3 linked regions of the Macaca mulatta genome follow. The protein of the gene in region 3 interacts with the protein of the main gene of each other region in a biochemical or structural test. Links are inferred from orthologs where the notes say so. Each region holds a gene or a part of one and is shown on either strand. Other genes may lie near its edges.

Region 1 (4,390 bases), on a different chromosome or scaffold from region 3:
TGCAACCTCCAAACAGGCTCTTCTTAAACATCACCTTCTCTATGATGTCTTTCCAGTTCTGGTGAAGCATTAATTTTTTTCCTGCTCAAAACTCTAAGAGATCTTGTATGTACAGTCCTTACTGCATTTACACAGTTCTGTAACTGGTGATGGAATTAAATATGTACAAGATGACCTTGATATATCCTAGGAAGAAACATTTTTCAGCAACAAAGATCAGAACTCAAGGTATTATTTTTAACAGAAAATATTAATGTAAGGAGAAAAAACTTGAAATCAATACGTAGTTCAAATAAAATTCTGATGAGATGAGAATGAAGACACACTTTCTAAGCAACAAGTTACTACTTCTTTTTTTTTTTTTTTCTGAGATGGAGTTTTTGTTCTGTTGCCCAGGCTGGAGTGCAACGGAGCAATCTCAGCTCACTGCAACCTCCGCCTCCCAGTTTCAAGCAATTCTTCTGCCTTAGTCTCCTGAGTAGCTGGGAATACAGGCGCATGCCACCATAACCGGCTAATTTTGGTATTTTTAGTAGAGATGGGATTTCACCATACTGGCCAGGCTAGTCTCAAACTATTGACCTCATGATCCACCTGTCTCGGCCTCTCAAAGTGTTGGGATTACAGGTGTGAGCCACCGTGCCCGGCCCAATCCTGTGATGATTTTCTAAATGTGACTCTGGTTACTTACCCTCCCCTCTAATTCGTACTGCACACTGCCAAACTTTTTTTTTTCTGAATAAATATTTGGCATCTCTCCCTCACTCAAATCCTCCAAAAAGTTTGTTACTTCCTTGTAAACTAAAGTTAGAACATCTCCGTTTCATGATATGACAATCTGAGTATATGGTCCCAACCTTTATCTACACAGATCTTCTGCTCTAGGTTCTCTCTGTTTTCCACGACACACCATGCTGATTATGTATTTTGAGTCTTGCATTTCTGTTCCATTCCCCATGGTATATGCTATGTCCACCCACCCAAATCCTGTAAGGCGTAAACACTGAGCATTTACCATGCTCCTAGAACAATGGCACCATCTCAAGTCACACCATTTTTTCAAGCTTTTTCCTTCAGTCTGCAAGGGCCATCTCCTCCTTAGTGACTCTCCTCCAATTAACACGCTGCTGGAGAGAGAAATGCCTATTTAATTCATCCTTTTAAGTCACACTGAGCTTGGAAATAAGTCAAATCAGTGCCACAGATTAAGGCGAGGGTTAAAGAATGAGAGGTCATGCATTTATTCATCACCTTTTTGTTGAGTAATTACCATGTGCCAAACACTATTCTGGGTATGACAGGCAAAGATCCAATCTCATGGAATGTGATTTTGTGTGTTGGAAAGACGGAGGTAACCAACTTTGAACATATTAACACAAAATCACTCTACACTGTGAAAAGTGCTTTGAAGAATGTAACGGCCAGGTGCGGTGGCTCACGCCTGTAATCCCAGCACTTTGGGAGGCCAAGGCGGGCGGATCACGAGGTCAGGAGATCGAGACCATCCTGGCTAACACGGTGAAACCCTGTCTCTACTAAAAATACAAAAAATTAGCCGGGCGTGGGGGCGAGTGCCTGTAGTCCCAGTTATTCGGGAGGCTGAGAGAGGAGAATGGCGTGAACCTGGGAGGCGGAGCTTGCAGTGAGCCAAGATCGCACTACTGCACTCCAGATTGGGCGACAGAGCAAGACTCTGATTCAAAAAAAAAAAAAAAGAAAAAAAGAAAAGAAAGAATGTAATACGGATCTGTCGTGTTAGCAAATGATCATAAGGGAGCCATTTTTAAGAAGGCCGACAAGAAAGACCTCTTAGATTTAATTGACGAGAACTCAGCCATATGATAAATCAGTTAAAGCATTAAGAAACCGAAAGTCCTTACATTTTAAGTCTCAACGACTTTCAGGATCACATTTTGAATTTGCTTAAGTATTATGAAACTCCCCTAGGAGAAAACACTTCCCAACATGAAACAGTAAAGCACAAATAGTGCCCGCTGTGAGCCAACCAAAATTGCTGTCTTTACATAAAACATTTATTGACGGCCAGTTTCATCAGACCCAAATGTGCTCTGAAAGAATACTCCAGTCCAATGACCTCTCCTGACCTCTCCTTCTGTTTGTTCAGGGCTCTCTCGCCTCTTTTGAGAGCTTCATTAAGGACCATTTACCTAAGAGAATAAGAGTACGCAGGGACCAGTTCTAGTTTCTCGCCGAAAAAACTGTACAGAAAGCAGACATTCAACTACCTCACACAGGCTCATGGCTAAAACCAGTTTCACCAAGGGAAAGATACAAGTAATTCTTCGGTCTGGGATAAAATGCACCGCCCAAGTCTAGGAACACCAAGACAGGGCTCCAGGAAAGCCGTGAGAAAGAGATCTAGTCCAGGCTGATTCAGACCAGTAACCGGCTGAAAGACACTTTGCGTCCCTAAACTAATCTCCTCATCTGCAAACAGATACAACAATGACTCCTGCCTCTCAAAATATGTGAAGCTCTAACGAGATAGCCGTAAAAGAACTTTAAGAGGTGCACGGAGCGGGATGGGCTCAAGTTACTTAAATTATACTTGTGTTAGGAGGAGCGCAAGTGGGAGACTCGTGAACATTACCTTGACTAGCCACACTCCTGTGTTCTGTTTGGCGCCGGTCAGGTCGAGTTCCCCGCGCTCGGCCATGGGTCTGTTGCCGGTGGACGCGTGTGGCCTACAGCAGCGACACCAGGAGCCGGAGGGCTGAGAAGTGGGCGTCCGGAACAAAGGGCAAGCCGCGCTGAGAGGTGAAGAGGCGGCGTTCCTTACCTGCCAGGACACTGGAAACCGGGGGGAAAGAGGAACACGCCGCCGGTAGCCAGACTGCGCCTGCGCACTGTACGTTCGTACGGCGCGCTGTTGCAGACAAACTTTCTGTTTCGGAAATTCCTTGGGTGGGCGTGGCTGTCAGCGTAGTGTGTATCTGAGGGATTAAAACATAGGGTAAGATGAGCCAAAACGTTAGCAACGTATTTAAAGACATGGCCAGCATAACTGAAGAAAAAGATTATCAGAACGGAAAAACGGGGTTCAAAGAGACAAAAGTTGTCAGAACGTGTCCAACCCTAGCCAAAGAGAGAGAAAGAATATTTGAAGGACAGGCTTAGGTTAGTAAATTGGCATCCCCCCTGGCCAACGTCATTAGCACAAGTGGGCACTGGGATCAGACTTGGTAGCCCTGGGTATATTGAAAACATGCCGTTTCTAGACCTGAAAAGAAAGCCGTGTTTCAGCTCAGAGGCTGCCCGAGCTCCTCTGATTAAGCAAGCAGAGCACCTCATATTCCAAAACCCGAAGGTCTGTGACGAAACGAACAAGTAAGAGACAAAACTGATCGTTTCCTCCCCTGCTTAAAGTTTTCTCTTTCTCTTCTTGCCTCTAGAATAAAATTCAATCCTCCTGCTTCAACTGGGCCCTCTTAATTTCATCCGTTTTCCCCTCCCACCATTACTCCACCATGCACCGAACCGCACCAAACCCAGCAGACTTCCCGGAACACGTCAGAATCTTCCTCGGTCATTTCAGAGCCTCTGCACACTGGATTCCCTTCCTTGGAAGCCCTCTTTTACCCCTGCCCTCACTCCCACTCTTTCCTCTGGTTGGCAAACTCCTACTTATGGTTCAAGACCAATGGAAATGTCACTTCTTATGAGATCTTTTATCAACTTCCCCAGAAGAAATTAGTTTTTCTTCACATCACAGTGTGATACTTAGCACTCTGCACTATAATACATATGTTTACATATCTGCCTTTGCTTTCCAGACAACGAACTCCTCCTAGGCAGAAAGAGCTTTATTGAGGTATAATTTACAAATAAAAAATGGTGCTTTATTCATGTTATATCCACAATGTATAGCACAGTGTTTGACACATTGTCAGGTTTCAGCAGGCTTTGGGTGAAAGAACATTCGCTGAAGAGAAACAAACAGTAAGGTATTGTTAAGAAGGGCAAGTAATGTATTGAATCACACATCAGAGCCTTGCACAAAATTGAGGAAATTTTATGTGTGTTCAGCACAGGGCCAGGAAAAGCTGTCAGAACTCTGCGATTAGCTAGCAAAATTAACAGGAAAGATGGGAAGAGACCTGGAGTGTGTCGAAAATGAAAGTTTCAGTGGCTGGACCCTGTAACCCCACCTTTGGGAGGCTGAGGTGGGAGGATTGTGTCTGCCCAGGAGTTCAAGGCTACAGTGAGTCATGATCGTGCCTTGCACTCCAGCCTGGGTGACAGAGCAAGGCCCTGTCTCTGAAAAATAAATACTAAAACCAAAATTTTTTTTGGCCAGCCACAGTGGCTCACGCCTGTAATCCCAACACTTTGGGAGACCGAGATGGGAAGATCACTTGAGGGTAGGAGT
Region 2 (4,255 bases), on a different chromosome or scaffold from region 3:
TGTCACTGCACTTCAGCCTGGGTGACAAAGCAAGACTCCTTCTCAAAAAAAAAAGACAAAATCCTTATAATGTCCCACAAAGCCCTTCAAAATTTGCCTTCTCCCCATTATATCTCTGATCACTCTTCCTTCCTTCTTCCACTTTGATCCAGACACATATGTCTTCTGGCTGCTCCTTAAACTTGCCAGGCATGCACTTAATAGCTTTTGCTCCATTCCCTCTGCCTGGAATGTTCTCCCAAATGTCTAATTGGCTGCCTACCCTGACCACCCTATTTAACTCTGCAGTCTGCCCTCAGAGTGGGGGCAGCCCACTTCTTCTTTTCCGTAGCATTTAACATCTTCTGAGCCTGGCGCGGCGGCTCACGCCTGTAATCCCAACACTTTGGGAGGCCGAGGCCGGCAGATCATGAGATCAAGAGATCAAGACCATCCTGGCCAACATGGTTAAACCCTGTCTCTACTGAAAATACAAAAATTAGCCGGGCATGGTGGCATGCGCCTGTAGTCCCAGACACTCGGGAGGCTGAGGCAGGAGAATCGCTTGAACCCGGGAGGCGGAGGTTGCAGTGAGCAGAGGTTGCACCACTGCACTCCAGCCTGGCAACAGAGTGAGACTCCGTCTCTGTCCACCATGTAAACAGGGCTCTTCTCTTTTTTTTTGGAAATAGAATTTCACTCTTGTTGTCCACTCTTGAACTCCTGACCTCAGGTGATCCGCCCACCTTGGCCTCCCAAAGTGCTGGGATTACAGGCGTGAGTCACTGTGCCTGGCCAACAGAGCTCTTTATTATGTTCACTGATGTATTCCAGGAGCCCTGGGACATCATAAATATTTGTGAAGTAAATGAATTAGTTGTAAGGCTTAGAGATGTTGGTGCTCAGTAAATACTTGGTATCACTGTTATTAATAGGTCATAGGCCCAAGCTTTGAGCCTACACTGTAGTTAAAAGCAAAGTGGAGCCAGGTGCAGTGGCTCACGCCTGTAATTTGGGAGACCAAGGTGGGAAGATCACCTGGGGTCAGGAGTTCGAGACCACCCTGGCCAACATGGTGAAACCTTGTCTTTTTGTAAAAACACAAAAATTAACCAGACATGGTGGCGGGCGCCTGTAGTCCCAGCTACTCCAGCTACTTGAGAGGCTGAGGTGGGAGAATCGCTTGAACCCAGGAGGTGGAGGTTGCAGTGAACCGAGATCGTGCCACTGCACTCCAGCCTGGGCGATAGAGGGAGACTCCGTCTCAAAAAAAAAAAAAAAAAAAAAAAGCAAATTGGAGCCAAGAGAGGTAGCTCACCCCAGCACTTTGGGAGGCAGAGGTGGGAGGATCGTTTGAGGCCAGAAGTTTGAGACAGACTGGTCAACATGTGAGACCCCCATTTCTGCAAAAATTAAAAAATTAGACGGGCGTGGTGGGGTGAACCGGTCATCCCAGCTACTTAGGCGGCTGAGGCGGGAGGATCGCTTGAACTACTGAGGAGTTGGAGGCTGCAGTGAGCCAAGATGGTGCCACTGCACAACAGCCTGCGCAACAGACGGAAATCCTGCCTCAAAATAAAATAAAATAAAATAAAATAAGTGGCACACTTGGAGCTGGACATTAGGAAGATTAACATCAATACTGTTCAGGAGTAGTACAAGTAGGGTGGGGCCGTGCTGGAAGGATGGGAAGAGGGAGGCCGAAAAAGAAATTAGTTCTTTTCAAACCATCCCTAATCTCCTTCCCCACTTTTATAAGTCTTATCTATAGGAAACACAATTATTGGAGACATACTCTGTGCCTGGCGCCGGGTTTACAAGAGGCGGTCGTGTCCCACTTCCCTGGCGAACTCCTACGAATCCTTCAATACCCGGCGGTACCCTCTGCCAGTAAAGGCTCATAAAACACGCTACAGTCACAGGATCTCCTCAGATCAAGTGGAGGCGGCAGGAAGGCGTCCCAGGGGAGGGTTAACTTGAGCGAGATCCCAGCAGAGAAGCAGGTCGAAGATCCCCGGGCAGCGCGAAATGAGGCTCAGAGAGTCCACCCCATCTCCTGCAACATCTCTCCTATGCAGGCACACACACGGGGTCCCCACGAGCACAGACACACAACCAACCGTCCTCTTTCCAGTCCCCACAAGGGACTTTCAAAGGGTCTCCTCCCGGGTACCACTCAGACCCGCCCCGGCCAGCCGAGCACGGGCAGCAAGAAAACTCTAGCCGCAGCCGGGACGCCGCTCAACCGGCGCTCGGCGCCATCTTGGCCCCGCCCCCTCCTGGAAGCAGGTCCTGGCAGAACCGAAGAGCAAGTCACTGCCCCTTCCCCGTGCCAGAATAAGTCCTCTAGGCTTACAGAATGAAATTATATTTTAAAAATTTGTTTCTACATCTACATATAAGGACCACTCCCTCTTGATGTAATTAGTGTAATTTATTCCTTCACTACCCGGCTGCCAGGACCTTCAAGAGGCGCCACAAAACGGAGGCAGGGAAACCCGGAGCAACGAGGCCGCACCCCTGTTGGGCTGATCTTGCGCATGCGCCGATCTTGCCAGGCTGGATTTAAGGTTGCCGCCAGCCGCTGGGAATTTAAAGGACCCACACTGCCTCTCCGAAGTTGGTTTGAAGGCAAGCGGTGGTTGTTTGTGGACGGCGCTTTGTCATGGGACCTGTGCGACTGGGAATATTGGTTTTCCTTTTGGCCGTGCACGGGGCTTGGGCTGGGATGCCGAAAGAGGACGACGATGACGCAGAACGCTTGCCCAGCAAATGCGAAGGTATTTGAAGGGGGTAGCCCCTGTGGGCATCGCCCGGCCACACCTCCTTCTTCTAGGCCGGACATCCTGGACTGTATTGGGTGGGTCACCCGACCTCCTTGAAGGCTTGAGGGAGGTTCTGGTGGAGCTTGGCTGAATTTGGATGGGGTCAAGGAAGCGAACGTGTAGTGCCACCTCAAAGCTGCATCCAGAGAGAGCCTGCATTTTTTTGGCTGGCTTGGACACCCCCGCCAATGGATTGTGGGAATTGTAGTTCAGGGACCATCGGCCCTGGACTGCCAACTTTTAGAGCATCTTCAGTGCGTGTTTGCCTCATGTCACCAGACCTTAATCTGCAGAGACTGCAGGAGCCGGGTGTGAGGCTCAGGCCTTGTGGACATCCGCTGCCCTACCCTAGCATAGACGCTCCCAAATTACAGGCCCCACGCCCCCCTGAGGGGGTTTGAGGGTGAGTAACTCAGCCTTTGAAGCTCATAAACAAAAGGAGGCCGTACAAGTAGGAGAGGTTCCCCATCCGGTGAGACTTTGCAGACGGTGCGTACTATATGGATTTTTCAGCAAGCAGCACCTTCCACAGCTGCACTAGTGTGGGGCCCATTTGAGAAAGGGGACTGGCCCTGATGCCCTAGTTTGCTGCCCTCCTGACTTTACGTTTCTTCCCTGGATTCTTTTTCTCTTCTCTTCACCCCCACAAAACTGTATTTCAGTATCATGAAAGGCAGTCATGATAGTCTCATGACTTAGTCCTCATCTCTGTCTCCTTTCACCTCCGTGTCCCGCTCTTCTCCCCTGACTTGTCAATCTTTTTAAACAGACTTAATCACCTAATTGTATCAGTCCTTGCTTTAACACCTCTGCAGGCCTTCTATCGGAATACAGCCAACAGGCCTGGGCACAGTGGCTCACATCTGTAAACCCAGCACTTGGGAAGGCCAAGGTGGGAGGATCACTTGAGCCCATGAGTTCAGGCCCAGCTTCACCATATCTTGTCATCCTTGGTTTATCTGTCCCAACTACACTGACAGAGACCTGTAGATAGAGATAATAGGTTTTATTGCTGTTATATTGTTAGTATGCATACAGAAGGAGCTCAATAAATAACTGCAGGATAACAGTGAATACTTATACAGTACTCACTATGTGCCAGCCTTTATATATGTTGATTTAATCCTCATCACACTCCTATGAGGGACATACTATTATCCCATTGTATTTATTATACACACACACACACACACACACACACACACACATATATATATATATATTTTTTTTTTTTTTTTTTTTCTTTTGAGACAGAGTCTCATGCTGTTGCCCAGGCTGGAGTGCAGTGGTGCAATCTCAGCTCACTGCAACCTCCGCGTCCTGGGTTTAAGCGATTCTCCTGCCTCAGCCTCCCAAGTAGCTGGGATTACAGGCGCCCACCACTATGCCCAGCTAATTTTTGTAGTTTTAGTAGAGACAAGGTTTCACCATGTTGGCCAGGATGGTCTCAG
Region 3 (4,105 bases):
AGGGAACGTTTTAAGAATACTGACCATGGGCCCCATTCCTAAAGGTTTTGTCTCAGGTGGTTCGGGGCGGCCAGATTTGGCATCACACAAATTTTTAAAGCTCTTTAGGTGGCTCTACTATACAGCAAAAGTACCTACTATATATCCTGCCAATGCTCATCCTGCATGGAGAGGTCCCTGTGCCACTAATCGCTCAGCCTGTTTCCTTTGCCTAAAACACCCTAGGGAGCTGTGAAGACTAAAGTCAGGGAGTGATGTGAAGACTTTACAATCCAACAGTTTTGGGGTTTAAATCCCAGTTCCAGTATTTCTTAGCCCCCCTGACCCCAGAAAATTCTCAGACTCAGTTTCTTTATATATAAAAAGTGATTAGGCCAGGTGCAGTGGCTAATACCTGTAATTGTAACACCTTGGGAGGCCGAGATGGGGGGACTGCTAGAGTCCAGAAGTTGAAGACCAGCCTAGGAAACACAGTAAGACCCCACCTCTATAAAAATTTTAAAACTTAGCCAGGTATGGTGCCGTGCACCTGTAGTACCAGCTGAGGTGGATCAACTGAGCCAGGAGGTCAAGGCTGCAATGAGCCATGATTGAGCCACTGCACTCTAGCCTAGGTGACAGGACATGACCCTCAAAAAAAAAAAAAAAGTGATTAACGGTCCCCTGCTCACACAGTTAATGTATGAACTCAGTGAGATAATTAATGCAAAGTGTTCTGCTTTCAGGGCTGGCATAAGAGTTCAATTCAGTACTGGCATTCATAATAAATCCCCTATTTAGAAAAACGACTCTTATACCAATATGAAGAATGGACTCAAATGGGTGAAGGTGGAGGCAATGTGGAAGTATTGGGTGTATAAAATCAAACTACGGAAGAAGGCAAAAAATTGCAAGAAGAGAACAGAATGAATGAAAGTTATTACAGAAAAAAAAATAACAAGGACCCAACAAAATATATTGGATACAGAATATGAGAGTAGGAAAAATCTTAAATAGCTCTGTTTTGAGCCAGTGTAGCTAGGAAAAGTACTGCCATGAGAAATAGGTGACACTTGAAGAGGAGCAGATATGGAAGAAATGAGGAAATCATTTTTAGAAGTGTCTCTGAGGAAATACCATAGGATATTCCTCTGAATATGCCCAGCAGGTAGCTGAACAAATGAAACTAGAGCTTAGGAATGAAATGAAGCTGTGCCACCTTGTTCAAAATCTGTGCATTCTAAAATCCTCCTTCCTGACCACTAACTTCTCTCCTCCACCACTTCCCACTCACACTGAATCTCCTTACTCAATCTCTAGAGGTCTTAGGTAAGAATTCTCAAACTGGCAGCCCCCCAACGCATTGTTTCACCCAAAGAAATGTTTCAAAAATTTTCTGAATTAGTTGTCAACATTTAAAAATTGTAAGAGTTCACATAAATTTCAACTTCCAGCTCCTCCTGAAAAATTGGAAATATCTGAGGAAAAAGTGAGCCCATGGTCCCACATGGAAACAATAAGCTGAAGACGAATAGCAGCTGGCATTATTAGGGAAGGAGTATGGCTGGTCTCTGGAGACTTCTGAGTGTGGTACCTCCTAGGACCTTTTGTTTCTTCCTTTGATCTTCATAGTCCATGAGTCATATCCCAGCCTCACCTCCCTACCCCAGTCCAGACACGTGTATTTTAATCATATAAACATTTAAGGACTATTGTGCACCAGACACGGAGCTAGAGAAACAAAGTTGAAAAGAATGCACCCTCTGCCCTCTGTCTACTCTGTCAGCCTCATATCCAGCCACACTAGCATATTCTCAATTCCATAAGCCACATGTGCTTTCCGTGCTTACCACAGCTTTGCACAAGCTGTTCCTTCTGCCCCTACAACTAAGCCAACCCCCTTCTCCTAATCATCCTTCAAGTCTCAAATGACGTTTCCTCATAGAGGCCTTCCCAGACTCCCCATTAGGTAGCGTACAATCATCCCCTCTCACATGTTCCATGGCTCTTTCTCCCTTCTTGTACTTTCTCCATGTCTATCTCTAAGACCAGACTTCATTTTGTTCACCAATTAATTTCCAGTATCTAGCACAGCCAGACAAGTACTTCCATAAAACTTTCCTTATGTGTCCTAGACACGTGTTGTTCCAACATGGCTCATTTTGCCAGCTTCCCCCCGCTTCACTTCCTCCACTCTTGCTTCCACGGTAGAATTGGACAGGCTATTGGGCACTCTCTTCTTAAATTTAAAACAGTTTTAAGCTGGAGGTGAGTGGATCAAATTCACGATGTTAAAAGTGTGCGCTGACTGCAGAATGGAGAAAAAAGCTGGATGCGAAGAGTCCAGTTAGATTACTTCAGTACACCACTACGCCAGTTCTAGAACAACCTGGGATTCTACACATCTAACTGCGGTGTTCTGGTACCACATTTCATGGCACTTTCCACGCCTTCACTGAACACATAGCGGCAAACTACCGCGAAACCTCCGGACCCAGCTGCCCTTCACGAGACGCGTTCGGTGATATGCACTCCTCCCCACTGCGAGACCCCGAGACCCCAAACTCCCTCGGACTCTCCCAGTTGGGTCTAGGGCCACACTCGGCGCACCCAAGCCCGCCCTACCCGAGGTCCCACACGGGCCGTTCCGGGGTCAATGGTTCTTTGGAGAACCAAGAGGACCAAGGCAAGAGGGTAATTCAATAGGGGAGGACAGTTAAGAGGGAGCGAAAGGAAGAAGAAATCATGAAATGCAATGCCCGGCCAGGGAACTCCGAACAAGGAACAGGGAACAAGGTTTACCAAAGCGAATCCTGGAACACTCCCACTACAGCTGCCCTCAGCTCTTCAACTACCGGCTTAAATGAGCCACGCCTCTTACGCGACAAAGAAAACGCACTATTCCTGCGACCATCTGGGGAAACACCCCGCTACCAGACCAGCCAATCAGCTCAGTGAAGCCTTCGATTCAGACAGTCACGCTCCGAGCGGCCAATGAAATTGAAAGCTCTGCCCTCCATGCCCAACTCTGATTGGCTTACAATCCCGGAACAGGCGTTAACCCAAGGAAGGCAGTGGCAAGATGGCGTCCCTGGATCGGGTGAAGGTACTGGTGTTGGGAGACTCAGGTGAGCGTCTTACCCCACCTCTGGGGCTACAGACACTTTTGAGTTACCCAGTAACCCTCCCCTTACCTTCCTTCCCTCAACTCCCTGGCTCTTCGGCCCGTGGCTGAAGTCCCTCCGAAGTCCTGAAGACTACACTTCCCAGGGGACTTTGCTCCGTGTGACGACGCGGCGGCGGCGGCGGCGTCGCGCGGGTGGGGGTCGCGGAGCCCGGGTCTTTTTCCTTCGCGGCTTTCCACATCAGTCTCCCAGAAGACTGCAGCCTGGAGTGTATTGTCAGTTATTTTATTTGGAAAAAAAAAAAAAAAAAAAGGCAGGCATTGAGTATTGTATGGAGTTCTGTGTTAAGGGTACAGAAGTTAGTAGGACCGTGCCTTCAAGAGATTTTGTTCATTAAGGAAGTCAAACGTGCACTGACAAACGTGAACTGGCAAGCGCTTCTCATACATTAACTCATTTAATTCTGAGATTAGTCCTATGATCACATTTTACGGATGAGAGTAGTGAGGCAGAGAGATGTGAGTGGCAGAATCCTTTTGAACGCAGAGTCCACAAACTTAAACGCTAAGTTATAAATACGCAGTGACGTATTGGGTGGTGGTCCTGTTTTATTCTTAACTGAGCTTCTTGACTTCCTGGTTCTCGTTTGATCTTCATTGAAAACCTATTATGTCCTAGACTGTACGATAGAGAAATTAAAGTAAGAGTTTTATTCTGAAGCAGCTAGGATTTAACGCTGAGCCGAATTTAATCCTAGTGTTAAAATTATTATTTTTTTTTATCTCAATGGATGCAAAGAAAAATTATTTTGACCCCTGGGACATTTGAGAACTACAGCTGACTTCTGGATTTCCAGCTCCCACCTCACTGCCCTTATCTTTTCTTCCATAATCCCCAGTTCATCTCTCCTTAGTAACTTCAATAAATGCTGAACTTGCATTTTATAGATGTGCTCTTCTGGAGTTGGCCTAAGAGCGTGTGTTGTGAGCAGAGACATTGTG

Evidence for each region.
Region 1: the proteins of GTF2E1 (region 3) and GTF2F2 form a complex in vitro, tested with the Homo sapiens proteins (2 studies listed by BioGRID). The link is inferred for Macaca mulatta from reciprocal best matches to the Homo sapiens genes GTF2E1 and GTF2F2.
Region 2: the proteins of GTF2E1 (region 3) and TAF6 form a complex in vitro, tested with the Homo sapiens proteins (2 studies listed by BioGRID). The link is inferred for Macaca mulatta from reciprocal best matches to the Homo sapiens genes GTF2E1 and TAF6.

The regions. Positions count from the first base shown.
Region 1 is NC_133422.1:24,430,490-24,434,879, reverse strand, and holds the start of GTF2F2 (general transcription factor IIF subunit 2), read right to left. Parts: upstream 2,825-4,390; 5' UTR 2,678-2,824; coding exon 2,612-2,677; intron 1-2,611. UniProt on the Homo sapiens protein: TFIIF is a general transcription initiation factor that binds to RNA polymerase II and helps to recruit it to the initiation complex in collaboration with TFIIB.
Region 2 is NC_133408.1:47,425,452-47,429,706, forward strand, and holds the start of TAF6 (transcription initiation factor TFIID subunit 6), read right to left. Parts: upstream 2,825-4,255; coding exon 2,590-2,824; exon of another isoform or gene 2,556-2,589; intron 2,255-2,555; exon of another isoform or gene 1,775-2,254; intron 1,545-1,774; exon of another isoform or gene 1,410-1,544; intron 1,383-1,409; exon of another isoform or gene 1,368-1,382; coding exon of another isoform or gene 1,294-1,367; intron 64-1,293; exon of another isoform or gene 1-63. Other genes in the region: CNPY4 (protein canopy homolog 4 precursor), read left to right, coding at 2,645-2,759. UniProt on the Homo sapiens protein: The TFIID basal transcription factor complex plays a major role in the initiation of RNA polymerase II (Pol II)-dependent transcription.
Region 3 is NC_133407.1:162,993,980-162,998,084, forward strand, and holds the start of GTF2E1 (general transcription factor IIE subunit 1), read right to left. Parts: upstream 2,829-4,105; 5' UTR 2,782-2,828; intron 1-2,781. Other genes in the region: RABL3 (rab-like protein 3), read left to right, coding at 3,062-3,107.